5 linked regions of the Kluyveromyces lactis genome follow. The protein of the gene in region 1 purifies or fractionates together with the protein of each later gene. This does not show direct contact. Links are inferred from orthologs where the notes say so. Each region holds a gene or a part of one and is shown in the gene's direction. Other genes may lie near its edges.

The links.
Region 2: the proteins of RDS3 (region 1) and RSE1 purify together in Saccharomyces cerevisiae (affinity purification with mass spectrometry; 5 studies listed by BioGRID). This does not show direct contact. The link is inferred for Kluyveromyces lactis from reciprocal best matches to the Saccharomyces cerevisiae genes RDS3 and RSE1.
Region 3: the proteins of RDS3 (region 1) and CUS1 purify together in Saccharomyces cerevisiae (affinity purification with mass spectrometry; 3 studies listed by BioGRID). This does not show direct contact. The link is inferred for Kluyveromyces lactis from reciprocal best matches to the Saccharomyces cerevisiae genes RDS3 and CUS1.
Region 4: the proteins of RDS3 (region 1) and HSH155 purify together in Saccharomyces cerevisiae (affinity purification with mass spectrometry; 4 studies listed by BioGRID). This does not show direct contact. The link is inferred for Kluyveromyces lactis from reciprocal best matches to the Saccharomyces cerevisiae genes RDS3 and HSH155.
Region 5: the proteins of RDS3 (region 1) and IST3 purify together in Saccharomyces cerevisiae (affinity purification with mass spectrometry; 3 studies listed by BioGRID). This does not show direct contact. The link is inferred for Kluyveromyces lactis from reciprocal best matches to the Saccharomyces cerevisiae genes RDS3 and IST3.

Annotation. Positions count from the first base shown.
Region 1 is NC_006039.1:1,359,168-1,361,465, reverse strand, and holds RDS3 (U2 snRNP complex subunit RDS3), read left to right. Parts: upstream 1-1,450; coding exon 1,451-1,786; downstream 1,787-2,298. Other genes in the region: twinfilin TWF1, read left to right, coding at 1-138; ubiquitin-protein ligase ASR1, read right to left, coding at 263-1,177; Arf family guanine nucleotide exchange factor SYT1, read right to left, coding at 1,999-2,298. UniProt on the Saccharomyces cerevisiae protein: Required for pre-mRNA splicing. Involved in regulation of drug sensitivity and may play a role in multidrug resistance.
Region 2 is NC_006037.1:720,983-725,018, forward strand, and holds the start of RSE1 (U2 snRNP complex subunit RSE1), read left to right. Parts: upstream 1-1,234; coding exon 1,235-4,036. UniProt on the Saccharomyces cerevisiae protein: Involved in G2/M transition. Required for pre-mRNA splicing and endoplasmic reticulum (ER) to Golgi secretion pathway. U2 snRNPs associated protein required for the pre-spliceosome assembly.
Region 3 is NC_006042.1:790,354-793,828, reverse strand, and holds CUS1 (U2 snRNP complex subunit CUS1), read left to right. Parts: upstream 1-1,518; coding exon 1,519-2,970; downstream 2,971-3,475. Other genes in the region: RRG7 (Rrg7p), read right to left, coding at 161-862; BIL1 (Bil1p), read left to right, coding at 1,054-1,284; peptide alpha-N-acetyltransferase complex A subunit NAT1, read left to right, coding at 3,350-3,475. UniProt on the Saccharomyces cerevisiae protein: Essential splicing protein required for U2 snRNP binding to pre-mRNA during spliceosome assembly.
Region 4 is NC_006037.1:834,369-838,474, forward strand, and holds the start of HSH155 (U2 snRNP complex subunit HSH155), read left to right. Parts: upstream 1-1,284; coding exon 1,285-4,106. Other genes in the region: GPI-anchor transamidase subunit GPI16, read right to left, coding at 1-1,018. UniProt on the Saccharomyces cerevisiae protein: Contacts pre-mRNA on both sides of the branch site early in spliceosome assembly.
Region 5 is NC_006040.1:1,156,980-1,159,340, reverse strand, and holds IST3 (U2 snRNP complex subunit IST3), read left to right. Parts: upstream 1-1,349; coding exon 1,350-1,850; downstream 1,851-2,361. Other genes in the region: DJP1 (Djp1p), read left to right, coding at 1-90; KLLA0_D13442g (bifunctional 4-hydroxy-4-methyl-2-oxoglutarate aldolase/oxaloacetate decarboxylase), read right to left, coding at 307-1,014; actin cytoskeleton-regulatory complex protein PAN1, read right to left, coding at 1,996-2,361. UniProt on the Saccharomyces cerevisiae protein: Required for pre-mRNA splicing and spliceosome assembly. As part of the pre-mRNA retention and splicing (RES) complex, required for nuclear pre-mRNA retention and efficient splicing. Required for MER1-activated splicing.

The DNA of each region.
Region 1 (2,298 bases):
ATCAAGAGGACATTTGAAATTGGTGATTCTGATGAGCTAGATCTCTCAGAATTTAACGATGAAAGTGCAGAAGTTAATACCCAATCCGCTGCCAAACCAAAATTCAATAAACCTAAGGCACCTTCTAGAAGAAGATAAGCTTTATATTTCGTGATATAGAATACCATTGCTGATGGGACTAGCATTCTGTTTCGAATGGTAACTTTCAATATGCACAGGCAGAATTATTATTTACCAAAAAGATATCAAAATATATTAACAATTACATAACTTCCCTGATGGAGAGCCTAGCCTGCTCCTCGTAATTTATCCTGCTGGGATCGAACCCAGTTGAAGATAACCCATATAACTTCCGTGACACCATTTTGTTTATGGCGATGTATCGATCCTTCGATAAAGATCCGCGGTGGTAGAATTTATCCAACTCTGTTCGTACGTATCCTTGTATCCTGCATTTGTCCTCGTAACTGATGGTGTAAGGTTGTGCGAATCTATTGTAAATGCATTCAGTAAGAATACTTCGCTTATCTCTCATCCTTCCATCGTAAATTCTCACGTTCGAATCTCGTATTACCATTGAAGATACTTTGTTCCCACGTAGTCTACAAAGAGTACCATCACACTCTATGCAACACCATTCTTTCTCACCGACTTCGCACAATAACTCATTCAGGCATGAAGAGTGGAATAACGTCTCACATGATTCACAGTATAACGTTATGTCATCATCAATTTCACCGCATAAGGCACATTGCAAGAGCTCTACTCCCTGCATGCCATTATTATTCTGTGGCTGATGTCCGATCTCTTCCGATTGTAGTGTATCCTGGTCACCATTGCCATTAGGATCTTCTTCCTCTTCCTCTTCTTCTTCTTCTTCTTCCTCTTCCTCTTCTATCGCTGCTACTGCTTCTTGCTCATCATCATTCAGTAATCGAAGCTTGGCAAACTGCTCGATCAACGACACATTACACCAGTACTTCAAATCAATCTCGATATCATCATGTTTACGGCGAAGGCTTTTGGACTCTTTTCTGCATGTAGGACACTTAAAATCGTTCGAATATAAGTGCCACTTCCTAATACAAGAAACATGATATCTATGCTCACAGGGTAAAAGCTCCCCTTGATCAGTTTCATTCATAGATTCCAAACAAATACCACATATTTCAATCATCTTGTGATATATAATGTAGTTGCTCGGAGGGTCATATAATATGAACGGTTTCCAAACCTACTTTTCTTCGTTTTTTTGGCCTATCCTGTAGATCAGTTCCTGTTTAAATCAACGGCTGCCACTTAAGCCCATCTTCTATAAAATTGTACCTTAGATATCAAAACTAAAAGAACCCACATATTAAAACAAAGAACAGAAAACTAAGTGTTTTTCCCCATACACCGTCAGGTCTTATTAATCTATTTATATTACTATTATTATCACTGGATTAAGATGTCTCGCCATCAGTACGACTTGGTTATGTGCATGAAACTTCCTGGAACCTCTGTAGGGAAGGTTTGTGATAGATGTGATGGAAGATGTCCCTTATGTGATTCAGATGTAAGGCTAATTTCTAAGGTACGGATATGCGACTCTTGCTCCTCTGGAAGTAGTGGAAGCAGGTGTATAATTTGCGGAAGTCCTGGAACGCATGAAGCGTTATATTGTTGGGACTGCCACAGATCTGAACGAAGCCGAGATGGCTGTCCCAGAATTTTGAATGTGGGTAGCAATAAGACGGACAGGTTATATAACAAAAAGACGGCGGATACCGGCAAAGGAGTATAGGATATCGATTTCTATCTTAAGGAACTATAATTTGTTATTTTACTGTTCATACGCTGATACAGTGTTGTATATTTACATGCATGAATTCTTAATTTCCATCGTTTCCAATTTATGGCATTCTGAGAATGATACTTTTAAAGTTTTAGTCGGTAAAAACATTGAACCATCGCTCAATCTATTTCCGAGATCGAAGCTTGGCCAAAACTTTTTGATTATTGGTTAAATAAGAAACTCTCTTCGATGGAATTGGCTTCGTATCGATTATATTCACTTGGATTTGGTTCCAGACCAAATACAAGCTTCAAGAGTTTAACGTATATATCAAGTCTTTCGTTTTGATATGAGACCATTTCTATTCTTTTTATTATACCATTGACATGATCGATTAAGTTTGATCTAGTCTTTGTTGATAAGGGTACCGTGTCAAGGTATATGTTAAGCTGTGAGTGTAGCGAATACCATTTCGACATATTCTGTTCATGGTTACTTTTCAGCTTTAGTATTTTATCTTC
Region 2 (4,036 bases), on another chromosome or scaffold:
TGCGACTAGTTTGCTATTGGTTATTGATGTTAATTTTCCCACAAAACCGGAAATATTCGCCTTCCTCTCTGATAAATCTTGAAAAAGTACTGAGTATAGTAACTAGCACTGCTTTGTTGTAATCTGATCTTAACCTTATACCGTCTCTGGTTGGTTCGGATGGCAAATTTGCTTTGGTGTAGTAAATTACACTCTAGAGTTCAGCCTTTTATCCTAGAAGAAAACATTTCGTACTTACCAAGTTTTAGCATATGTCATGTTTCCGTTATTATATATTATTAAGGTTTTTCCTGGTGAAAAGGAACGGACACACAGAGAGGAAGAAGAAAAAAATAAACACACACACAGAGCTGATCTGCCAATATGAGTCCACCCGATATCTGTATGCGGCCGATTAATATTTCCCCAGTAACAATGTATAAATCAACGTGTAGAGACAGACAAAGAGTTTTCTCATACTTGCTCCTCTGACCAGAAGAGAAAGTCAAAAAAACCAATACAGAGTGTCTACCAGTCAAGCTATGGCATTTGAATCCTCATACGGTGTTTTTCTTTTCTGAAGAAGAGAAACACCTACTTAGAGTTAGTAGCGTAATACGCCTTGTGCTTTGAACTTGGTGAACCATATTTACGTTTCTGCACCATCAGGTGCACATTTGTGGGGTTACCAAAACGTGATACCGTTTAACGACACCAGTGCCAGAGCCAGTGCCGGTAAGGGAACAAGTAGTATCGAATTACATGCTGATCTCGTAATGGATTAAAACAATGACTGTGTGCCTTTCTTTCTCAACGTACAAGCATGCCTGTACGCTCTCTTCATCGTAAGTTTTTCCGTCCATATGGAGCGATAAACAGCCTTTGCGTATGTTTCTGTGTTTTCTTATTCCGCTTTGAACGAGCACTTCGCTCCTGCTCCAACAGAAGTTTTTCCGAAACAATGTGGAGTCTCATGTCATTCTGGTCACGTGATCGCATCTTTTCGTGTGACGTGATGTCAGGGTAACATGTTGTTGACTTTTTGGGATTTGTTGGTCACGTGTAAGTTTTTGAAATAGTATTTCCTAACTTCTTCATAAGGGCGGCAAAAAACCAAATCTGAAAGTAAACAAAGTAACTAACAACAGCGCACTTCTTGAGTGCAAGTTGACGAACAACACTACTGATTACCATCAGTATACACCTCTGATCATCGTCTGAAGCGTGTGTTTAGTTACCCGCTAACGAAGATCGGATGACTCAGGACTCTGAAGTGTTGCTATGGCACACTGTTTTACAACGACATAGGAACTACGTTCATTCCTGCATCGGTGATTTTACTTTGGATAGATCATCATTAGCGACAGCAGAAGCTGATACAACAAGTGTTAAGGGACCGAGGTCATCGAAGAAGCGGAAGGAACTGCAATTATGTCTAGCTACACAGGATTGTGTCGAATTGTACGATGTTAGCAATGGAACATTGGATGCGTTGGGTAAATGGCCTATAGCAGCTACTATTCTTTCTATGACCAAGTTGAATATGGATAGATGTTCACATACGATTTTGGTGTTGATAACTGATTCTGGGAATTTAACATTTTGGCAGTTTGAGAGGGATTCCGTGAGCGGGAAAGTGTACGTGCGTACTTTGGCAAACGAACCGATTTCCAGATCTGGGATCAGAAGGTTTGTACCTCAATATCAAATGGTTTCGGATCCACAGAGTAGATGTGTATTTTTCAGTGGGATTGAGCGTTCAAAGATGTGCGTGTTGGCTGACTGGCAACGTGGGAAATTGGTTGTTGGTTCTCCTATAGAGATTCAACGAAGTGATAGAATCACTTTGGCATCGGCAGCTTGTGATGTAAGTTTTGATAATCCGGTGAATGCTGCCATAGAGGTAGAATCTGGGACAAATGATTACTATTTGTCTTTTTATACAATGGATTTGGGTCTTAACACGTTGCTACTCCGGAAAGAGCATCTTTTAGAGGATAAATCCATCAATTTCGTTATGCAATGCCCAAATTTACAACAGTATAAGATTAAAACTAGACCGAATGATGAAACTGATCAAGATTCGGTAAATCCATTTGTTATTTGTGGTTATGATGGATACTTGACTCTGATAGACTTAGAAGGCTTTTATGAAGTGTCTGTTCAACTCCCCGTCAGAAAAACTGTTTCGTCAACTAATATCATCAACGGTACTATTCATAAATTGAAGAAAGATTTTTTCATCCTAATGCAGTCTAACCACGGAGATATGTACAAGGTCGGAATTATCCCTGATGAAGAAACTAAGGCGCCAGTTCTTGAAATTGCATACTTTGATACACTCCCCACTTCTGAAGACATCCACATTTTCAAGTCAGGTGCTCTTTTCAACGTATCAGAATTCGGGACCTCTTATTTAACACAGTTCGAAAGTCTTGGTGAAGATCTAGAAAAAATTACATCTTATACCCCGGGAAGGAGATCATTTATTGAAACAGAGTCCACTTTGAAAAACCTATCCATTCTTGACTCCTTAACTTCTTTAAATCCCTTGACGTCATTTCATGCATCAAATTCGACACCACTCACGATATTGGCTGCAGCCAATCAAACTGAGAATCTTGTTAAATTGACTTCTGCGGTTGATTTTGAAGAACTTATATCAACTACATTACCTAGAATACCATCAAAACTTTGGACCGTTAGAATTCCTAAAAACGAAACTCACAGTCTGATATTTCTTTCTATGGAAACCTCAACGACCATCTTGAAGATCCATGAGGGAACTGTCGAAGATTTTGGTGGAGATTCAAACCCATTTATTTTGAACAAACCATCATTGTTTGTTGGCGCTATGGTTCAAAGAAGTATTATTCAAGTTACTCGGGATTGTCTTTTACAAATTATTGAAATGCATGATGGTCCATACACCAAAAAACTTGAATGGTATCCACCAGCTGGTGTTGGCATCGTGACAGCATTTTGTAATGAGACACAGTTAGTTGTCGCTTTAACAAATCATGAAATATGCTATTTTGAAATCATAGAAGATTCGTTAAACGAATTACAGGATCGAGTGGAGATGGATTCTACAGTGAATTCTATTGCATTGCTCGCCGGTCAAAAGTCAGGCTATTGTGTATTAGGATGTGAAGATTCTAGTCTGCAGATTCTCAACTTACAGAGTAAACATCCAGATTTTTTCACTATCTGTGCTATTCAGTCACTAATATCAAAACCGCACTCTCTACTTTTCATGCGGGACACGTCGGATCTTAAGATCCACGTAGGTATGAAAAGTGGTGTTTATCTGTCATCTAAACTCAATATCAATGATGGCACAGTGTTCGATGTACGTACTAGATTTGTCGGAACGAAGCCCGTCCAGGTAAATCTCTTGGACAATATAGATATCAATCACAAAGATGATGATGATGATGAACCTGGAGAAAATGATTCAAAAATAGACGATTTCAAGAAGAAGATTTCGGATTTCACTCCACTAGTGGTATTGAATTCAAGCATATCTTGGGTAACTTACGAAATTGATGATAAAATCACATTACGTCCTTTGAAAACAGATGAGGGGATAACCTTGAAACATATAAATGCTTTTATCACGGATGATATCAAGCGCAACGGCTGCTGTTCCATAACCAGCAAAGGGCAACTCCTAATCGGCAAATTAGATAACTTTTTGTCCTGGAGTAACTGGTTCAATGAGAAAAAGTATACCCTTGTTAATGACGAACTTAAAAACGCTGGCAATGAAGAAGAGGATGAAGATGAGGATGAAGATGAGGATGAAGATGCAAGTGAGAAGTACGAAATCGTTGGTTATCAATCACAACGGATCCTTTCAGATACAACGGACAATTCGTTATCATATGTTATTTCAAAGACAGCTAATAAAGAAACCAGTCTATCAGCTATTCGCGATGATAAGCTATTGGCAACAAACAATGGGAATACGGTCGTGATTATTGCTAAAGAGGTCTTTAATGCTGTCTGTAGTTGCAATTTCGGTACAAATGTTAAATATATTGTCATATCTACT
Region 3 (3,475 bases), on another chromosome or scaffold:
CATTCCTATCTCGTTTTCATGCGCTGCATAATCAGATACACAACCTTTATAAATTTATACATCTTTAAATTAATTAGCATATCATATTTATTACATTCATCATATGTACAGGTTTCATTCTATTTAAACTTTTCTGATAGCGTAATTGCGTGCTAATATTTCATTTTTGTGCTAAGGACTCATAACCTTTCAATTTTAACCATTCTTTGATTCCACAATTTGCAAGTAATTTCGATGCATAGTCATTCTCATAATAATGCTGTAGTTTTCCCGAGTTTTTCACATCGAAGCTTCCATCAGCTAATCTCTGGATCATATCCACTTTGGTAAATACCATTGGTATTGCGGCCTCATTAAACAGCCTTATTCCATCTTTTGTAAACAAAGTTGGAGAGCTCATTATCATTATGCTCGAGTTTCTTTTACGAGCGGGAACTTGCATGGAGAATGATCCAATTAATTCCCGTACCTGGCGGCCAGTAACTTTATCTGAATTGAAAGCCTTACATTGAATGTAACAGTCTAAATATTTATCGGGTTTCACCCTATGTTTCCATGGTTTTATCGATGTAGTCGGAAGTTTCAAACGTTTAGGTAGCTCATCGAATTGTATTTGCATTTCTATAGCCTTTGTTAATGGTAAAACGTTCCATTTGCCCCGAATATCAATGCCGCCATCATATGAACCGCCAACTACCTGCATATCCTCCAGTCGGAGCTTATTCATTAATTCTCGTACCACCGTGAGCTCATATAGCGTACCTTGAAAAACGGTAGAGTTGGCGATGCTCTCATTGGCAGCAATATACTTCTGTAAAGTATCTTTGGGAAATGAACTTGCAAAAACCCCTTTCCAACTCATCTGTATACCTAATAGGCTATCATGGACAAAATAGACCAGCTGGCGTTCTCGCCATTGTTAGTCTCATCACCTCCATGTATCATTTGTATCACCAAAATTTGGATCGGATTCAAATAACTAAAAAAAATGTAAATGTCATAGAACCGACATACCTTGAAGTCTATTGATCTAGCTTACATACAGCCATATACATGCAGTCATCACTTCAAAAGATGATTTCGACACAACCAATTGTTACCCCTGAACCAAAAGGATCAGAAAATAGTGGTAATTCCAACGAAGATGTTCCCACCGTGTTTGAGATAGCCTCAGATATTCAGCAAAAGTTACAGGACTTACTGCGGAAAGTGAATGACGATGATGTACAATTTAACAAATTCGCCGATTCAATCAACGATAGACTCAAGAATTTAGAAGAGTGATTCGTTATTATCCATAGTCATATAGCATCTATCACATGTATACAAGACCGTTGAATGTTGCCATATCTGTTCACGTATAATATAATGGTATAAATTTCAACATTTAATTGAAAAATATATGTGGTCTTAATAAAGGACATAAAAAAGGCAAATTGACAGATGAGCATACAATAGTATTCTGGCTCGACTGCTTATTAATATAACAACAGTCAACTGCCCACCAGATATTGCACTATGGTAAAGAAAGCCAAGGCTAATAAACGCCGTTCAAAGAATAAAAATGGATCTGTGAAAGAGGATGCAGAAGAAAGGAAGAAGAGGCTTTCCAGTTTGTTACAACAAGTGTCATCAGAGAATGGCAACACCTCGCAACAGGTAATTAATGAACCTTTAGTTATCAAGGATGAAAGTCTCAATAAAGTGTTACAAAGATTTAAAGCTTCGGCTACAGGGGCCGATGAGGATGATGATTCAAAACGGGAACAAGCCATAGTACGAAAAGAACGGGCTGATATTGACGATGAGGATGCTGAGGGTTCCGACAGTTTTGAGGATCAAGCGGATGAAGTACTTCAAAATATATCAGAAAGACAAAAGAGACTTGCTAACAAACCAAGTATTGCTGTTTTGAAAGCTTCAGTACCATATCCGGAACTCATCGAATGGTTTGACTGCGATGCGCAATGGCCTTATTTCAATGCAGCTATAAAGACAACACATAATACAGTGGGGATCCCCAGACATTGGCAAATGAAAAGAGGTTATTTATCTGGACGATCAATGATGGAAAGGAAGCCATTTCAATTACCTGAGATTATTAGACAAACCGATATTGAAACGATGCGAGAGACTGTTCCCTCTGGAAACGAAAAGCAAGCAGAGAAATTGAAGGATATTACCAGAGCAAAAGTTCAACCCAAGCTAGGTGTATTAGATCTAGATTATAAAAGGTTGTACGAAGCATTTTTCACTTTGGGAAAGAATTGGAAACCTGAACTATTGTCATTTGGTGATTTATATTATGAAAACAGAAGTTTGGATAGTGAACTCGAATGGAAACAAATAAAGACACGATATAGACCAGGGTATCTATCGGAAACTTTAAGGGAGGCATTAAATCTCACGGAGGGGATGCTCCCGCCTTGGTGTCATGAAATGAATAGATTAGGACTACCCAAATCATACCCTGGTATGAAAGTCTGTGGAATAAATTGGGAAATCTCTAATCTTACCGGTACACAATACGGATACTACCCTGAAGATACTTTGAGAATACCCAAACAAAACTTATTCGGAGCCATGTTCTCATTTGAAGAATTAGAAGATCAAGACGCACATATTGATCCAGATCCGTTGAACGAATCAATTTCCGACGATGAGGTGTCTTCAGACGCCAATGAAGCGGAAGCAACAAAAACAGAAAGCGAGACACATGAAAACAATAATTCAGGCTTAGTGCCAATTGATGGAGGCTCTGTAGTCAACCAGCACTATGATGAAAATAGACCCTTATTTACTGTTCTAACGGAAGCTAAATCAAACGAAGTCGACGGATCTACAATAATCAGTTCCACTACCTCTTACAATATTACGAACAAACGATCAACAAGCGTAGAGGAGAAGGACGATGATAATGTCTTACATAAAAAACAGAAAGTGGAAGAAGAGCCTGACTTCCGTTTTTGATCTTTACATTAACTCGTTAGAAACCCTACGTTTCAAAAGTGTCAGCTGTTTCCCTTTAATTACGTAAAATATTTGTAAATGTGAGTATGTAACTATATCAAAAGTATCATTGGATTGCAACATGTTTTAACTTTATTGCAGTAGGTGAGTAATAAACTCCTTGAATCGTACCAGCTCCGCTTGCTAACTATTACCTTCAGTTCGTTCAAACCCAAACATTTCATTTTCAATGTATCTCTAAACTGAAAAATTTACAATAGTCAACGTCTAAATCATGAAAATTATCAAGTTCAACAATCATATTCATGACTGAATAAATGGAGAAACACTCTTACTGGCTTGCTTATCTACACTCAGCGACCCATTGATCTACACTAGCATGTATAAAAAAAAGGGACTATCTCACGGGAAAGTGGGACTTCCAATTGGTAGGTCTAAGGATGACAGCAATATGTTGGAAGCACTGCAACTATATGAAGGTAAAAATTACAAGAAGTCGTTGAAG
Region 4 (4,106 bases), on another chromosome or scaffold:
GTAACGGGAAACATTGGAACGCGTCGTGTGGTCTATTCGTGTCACAACGAAGTTCGTCGCCTGGTAAAGGCTTCGGAATTGGTCTGTCAGCTCTGGCCAAAGCATTTGGTACGTTGACCACTGTTTCGATAAATTCTTCCATAACAAAGTGGCAATTGGCAGTTGATTCGTCACAAACAGTATTGACATCAATCGACAGACTGTGCCAATTTGAATCAAAGATCTTGTGGCCATCTAACAAAGAGGAGATACCAGATTTCCCTCTTGTTGGTAAAAGTTTTACAAATGGGGTCAAATTTTCAGTACAAACCGGTTCGTTGGCTAAAGTTGCTCTCATGAGGTAAAGATGGTTGCTTTGATTCAGTAGTGGGATCGCTTCGTCTTCTTTCGGTAAGAATGATGATACCGGAAACGTCGTCTTTGAAGTGTCAATGAAATTGATGGAAGCACAGAACAATCCACTTAACGAATTGGCCAACGTTATCCATGATTTCAACGCTTCTTCCTTCGATGGTGCTTCCACAATAGCCCATAATTCCACACCTGTTCCTCCAGATTTCAACCCGTTGTGTGGAAGCTGGCCCCATTCTTGTGAATCCCATAGCCCATGTGTAAATCTCAAGTGTAACTGTCTGGTATTAGTCTGTGACATAATGGGCCCAACGGGCTTCGGGAAAACTGTGTGATGAGAGTATTCACTGGATTCGTGCTGGTCTCTATCTATACCAAATGGCTCTGATTGCATATAGAACTGAAAACTTGCAAGCAAAAAGTTGTTAGGCAAGGGAGTTAGATCCAGATGCTCTCGAAAATTATACTCAATAGGATGCTCTAGTGAAAGAAACTTCGAGGACTGTGTTATTCTCGATGATTCCCCAGGCTCTGCATTCCAGCTTTCATCTATAACATCTTGCTGAACTGATTCTGTTTCGTTGTCAACTGGATTAACTTCAAAGTCTACTTCAGCCGTCACGATGGCTGCTAGAAGCAAAACTGGAATCCAATTTTGTAACCTCATGCGGTATGGACCCAGAGTATAATACTTTTCTAAAAGTTAGGCTATTTTCTGGCCTCTTAACTAAACTATCCTCTTTTCTCTGTTGAGAAGTATCGTTCTTTGTTTTGTATATGTGTTTATAATTAAAGATTCGAGTTACAACTTAGTAACAATTTTGATGTCAAGAACCTTTGAATCAAAAGGAAGAAAGGTATAACTGAAAGGCAAGCACCAATCAGGATCTTTATTGCTATTGCCGAGTTTGGTATTAAACAGCTGTACTTAAAATGGAAGCTATCAAGTTCGAAAAGTCGGGCCAGCGACATTCTCTTACAGGACAATACACTGCTCCCAGAGCCATATTGGAATCGACTGTAGGGAAAGATGAGGGGGATGATGAGTTGACAGCCAACCAGAAGCAACGAAGCTTGTATAATAAACAGTCTGATTATCATAAGAGAAGGTTCCTTAGGAATTTGGATGAAGAAGTGGATGAAGAGCAAGTGAAAGATGTGAAAAGAAGGAAAACCGATAAGGATGGTGATAAGGAAGAGGAAAGTGGCGGTGGATATACGATGCCCAAGACTTCGCAGCATATTATAACTGAGCTCTCGGAAGAGATGGTTACTGAAGTTCCAGGGGTACGTAATCTTCAGTTCTTTAAGCCTTCAGACAGACAACATTTCGCAATTTTGTTTGATGAAAGGTCTCCAGAAGATATGACTGAAGAGGAAAGGAAACAGAAACAGGTTTTAAAATTGGTACTTAAGGTGAAAAATGGGTTACCAAGCTCTAGGAAAATAGCTCTCAGAGCACTCACTCAAAAGGCACCCTCTTTCGGGGCACCATTGTTATTTGATTCGATCTTGCCCATTCTTCTCGATAAAACACTTGAAGATGAAGAGCATCAACTAATGTTGAAACTTATGGATAGAATTCTTTTCCAGCTCCAGGATTTGGTAAAACCATATACACATAAGCTCCTAATAGTATTATGTCCTATGCTTATAGATCCTGTGCCCTTGACTAGATCTACAGGTAGAGATATTATAACTACTTTGGCAAAAGCCGTGGGACTACCGACAATGATATACACAATGAGACCAGATCTCGACCATGAGGATGAGTATGTGCGAAACACGACGGCGAGAGCAATGGCCGTTGTATCGAAAGCCTTCGGGGTAAGTCAAACAATACCATTCCTACGATTGGTTTGTAGATCGAAAAAGAGCTGGAAGGCAAGACATACTGGGATAAAGATAATTCAGCAAATTGCTATTTTAGTAGGGATTGGTAGCTTACCATACCTCGACGATCTTATCGCATGTATAGAGAAGGGATTTCAAGATGAACATCCTCCAGTGAGAATCATAGCCGCTCAAACAGTGTCATCATTGGCACAAAGCTGCCAGCCATATGGTATTGAGCGCTTTAATCCGGTCCTCGAACCACTTTGGAGAGGTGTTAAACAAAACAGGGGAAGAGAACTAGCTGCATTTTTGAAGGCTCTAGGATTTCTCATTCCGTTGATGGATCCCGAATATGCGTCGTATTACGCTGAAGAAGTGATGAAGATTGTAAAGAGAGAATTCAATTCACCGAACGAAGATATGAAGAAAACGGTTCTATTTGTTATACAAAAGCTTTCCGTGACTGAAGGTGTAACACCTCAGTATCTGAGAAAAGAGCTAGCAGCAGAGTTTTTCAAACAATTTTGGGTTCGTAGATCGGCTTTGGATCGTCAACTCAACAACATAGTAACATTTACTACTGTTTTATTGGCTAATAAGACTGGAGCTGCATTCACGCTTGAAAAGCTTATATATCCATTAAAGGATGAATCTGAACCGTTCAGAACAATGGGTGCACATGCAGTTAACAGAGTTGTGAAAGCATTAGGAATGACAGATGTTGATGAAAGGCTTGAAGCGAGGTTGCTTGATGCTTTACTTATTGCATTCCAAGATCAAACGAATGGTGAGAGAATTGTCTACAGATCTATTGGAACTGTCGCCAAATCTTTGAATACCAGAATGAAACCGTATATTTCGCCGGTGTCAAGTATTATTCTAGAACATTTGAAACACAAAAAACCTTTGGTTAGAACACATGCGGCGAGTTTATGTGCCCTCTTGATCCCGGTTTTCAAACACTGTGAAGAAACAGCTCTTATCAATAAATTCAACATTATCCTTTTTGAATCGTTAGGCGAAGTTTATCCAGAGGTGTTAGCTGCAATCATTTCCGCAATGGACAAAGCTGCTGCACAGATAAGGCTAACTGACTTACAACCACCTCCGAATCAAATTTTACTATCATTGACACCAATTTTGAGAAACAACCATCCTTTAGTCCAGGAATCTACTGTTAAACTTGTTGGAAGAATTGCCAGGCGTGGGCCTGAATATGTTTCTCCTAAAGAATGGATGCGCATTTGTTCTGAGCTTTTGGAAATGTTAAAAAGTCCTGTGAAGTCCATCAGGGTGGCAGCGAACAGAACATTTGGATATATTGCCAAAGCGATAGGACCTCAGGATGTTTTGGTAACGTTGTTAAATAATTTGAAGGTGCAAGAACGTCAACTTCGTGTTAACACCTCTATTGCAATTGGTATCGTTGCTAAGACATGTGGGCCATTTGTTGTCATACCTGCATTGATGAATGAATACAGAACACCTGACACAAACGTACAGAACGGTATTTTAAAGGCACTTGCCTTTATTTTAGAATACATTGGTCCCATGTCTAAGGATTACATTTATCCACTTATACCGTTGTTGCAGGATGCTCTAACAGATAGGGACTTGGTTCATCGACAAACTGCAGCAACCTGCATAAAGCATTTAGCTTTCAATTGTGCAGGAAGAGGATTAGAGGACGCGTTCATCCATTGCATGAATTTATTATTGCCAAACGTCTTTGAAACTTCACCTCATGTTATTTCCAGAATCCTAGAGGGGCTAGAAGGACTAAGAATGGCTCTAGGACCAGGTGTTTCTATGAATTATGCCTGGGGAGGTTTATTTCATCCTGCTAAGAATGTTCGGAACGCATATTGGAAACTATATAACGGAGCATACGTCGCTCAACCAGATGCTTTGGTTCCGTA
Region 5 (2,361 bases), on another chromosome or scaffold:
GATGCCCAAGTGTTTGAAGAGCTCGTGGCGGAAGCAAGCAAGAAAAAGGGTCATAAGCATCACACTAGCAGCACTGCCAATAAACAGTGAATACAAAATATTCTCAAACCGAGTGCTTCCTACCTAATAATAGCATAAACACTTGCCAATTCTTGTTTTTTCATTCTTTATTTCTGCATCATGTTCATATATACATACATAGCTTGCTACTTAATTGACAATAATATTAATTTAACATAGCGATAAACTTTCGACTACGCAACCGAATATTGCAACTCCTGACGATCAACGGGGGAGGGCTGTAAATTACAAATATTGTTTAAGAATTGCTCTACGTTCTGATTGAGACTGAGCAGCAGGTTTTCCCTCCTTTATGTCTTGAGAAACAAGGTCATCGGCTTCGATAGACTTTTCTATATATGTGATCAACTTATCTAAGTCGACGGCGGCAGTTGGAATACGAACCATTCCATGATCATCACATACCAAATAATCGCCGGGATTAATTGTCTCCGTAGTGCCATCGCTAATCTTAATCTTCAACTCACAGTTATACGAAATCGGTTTCAAAACTGCTTTTGGAGCACAGGTACCGATACCGTAACTGAAAACGCTGTGATCCAATGCCTTATGCTCTTCGATATCTCTGATTCTACCAAATACAACCGTACCATGGCTGCCTAAATATTTTGCTCTTGTAGACATTAATCCACCGTACATGCCCTGAATAGGTTTGGTATATGGAGCACTGCTCAATTGTAAATCTTCAGTCATACCGATGGTTACGATAGATTCTGCTGGCACATTATCGATGTAATTGACACTGGGTTTATCTTGGGTAGCATTTTTATGCCCGAACAACACAGGAAAAGCCCTACCCACGATAGTCCCAGACCCTGACCTTCTCACCAAATTAGGGAAATATCCACCATTAGTGATTCCATACAAATTCAATAGCCCATCTGAGATGTCACAAGTAGTGAAATGTCTCAACCTTGCAAGATACTCTGACATTCTGCGTGTGGGAATTATAATTCAGCAGCGATCCCGGTAGTGCATAAACTCTGGATTTAACTTCTTTCGAGCGATGGAAAAGTGTTGATAATTTAAAGGTGTTAAAGATTTGAATAAGTTTCTTGAAAGTTCGTTTATATAAGAACAAGAAGACAATTGAAGGTGTTACGCACGAATGGAGGAACCGGAGAAGAATTTGACGGTTACCGAAAAGGAGCTGCAATTTTCTGATAGAAAGGATAAGGAATAACCAATAGAGCTGGTACTTTGCGGTCATTGGGAGGCTGGTTCAACTGTGAATATTTGGAAGTGAAGATCCAATACGATTATCAATTATGAATCAGATAAGGTCGATACAGAAACTTAGTGAAAGGGAGTTGGAATGTGGGATTCTAAAGCCAGAAAGCTCATGGCATCATGAGTATAAAGATCAGGCCTACATAAACTTTGGAGGGATGCACCTCGAATTGACAGAAGCTGATATTCTCACCATATTCTCCCAGTACGGCTGTCCTGTGGACATCAAACTTGTACGCGACCAGACAACTGGAAAATCTAAAGGGTTCGGGTTTCTCAAGTATGAAGATCAAAGATCGACTATACTTGCGGTGGATAACCTAAATGGAGCCAAGGTTTGTGGAAGACTGATACGAGTAGATCATGCTTTTTATAGGCCAAGATCCGATGAAGCTGAGTACGAGGAAGCTGTAAGACAAGAGTTGGAGAAGGATTTCGCAAAAACAGGAGACGTACCGAGTGAACCCATGAAGCAAGAATCGGTGGCTGACCCGTTGGATGAGTTTGCTGATCCAATGGCTGCGTTTCTGAAGAAATGAAATTCACATTCCTAAAGGAACAAGTACGGAGCAGTTCTTTTATGACAACGTAGACTTTTAGTTTCAAATGATATTTATGTACATATCCTGTAACTACTTTTCAATAATTTAGATACATGAATTTACGGACGCGAGAGCATATAACTTATGGCATCGGTGGTGGTGGAGGGATGACCGGCACTGGAGGAGCGGGAGGAGCGGGAGGGATTGCGCCAGTAGGTGCGACAGATACATCTTCAGCACCTGGTGTATGGAACTTATCTTCCTCATCAGAGGCCACCGACTCTGGGATAGATAGTACGTCGGATGCATCATCCGGCTTTGGTTCTTCGTTCTCTGCTAAAGTTGCAGTTCCTCCTACTTTTAGTAAAGGAGCTGCCACAGGAACAGCAGGTGCTACGTCACTGTTTATTTGAGGCAATGGTGGGGCGATAGGTACTGGTGGGGCACCAGACCCTTCAGTAATCGACGTAGGCAATGGAGGTGGAGGTGGGATCAGGGATGATTCGCT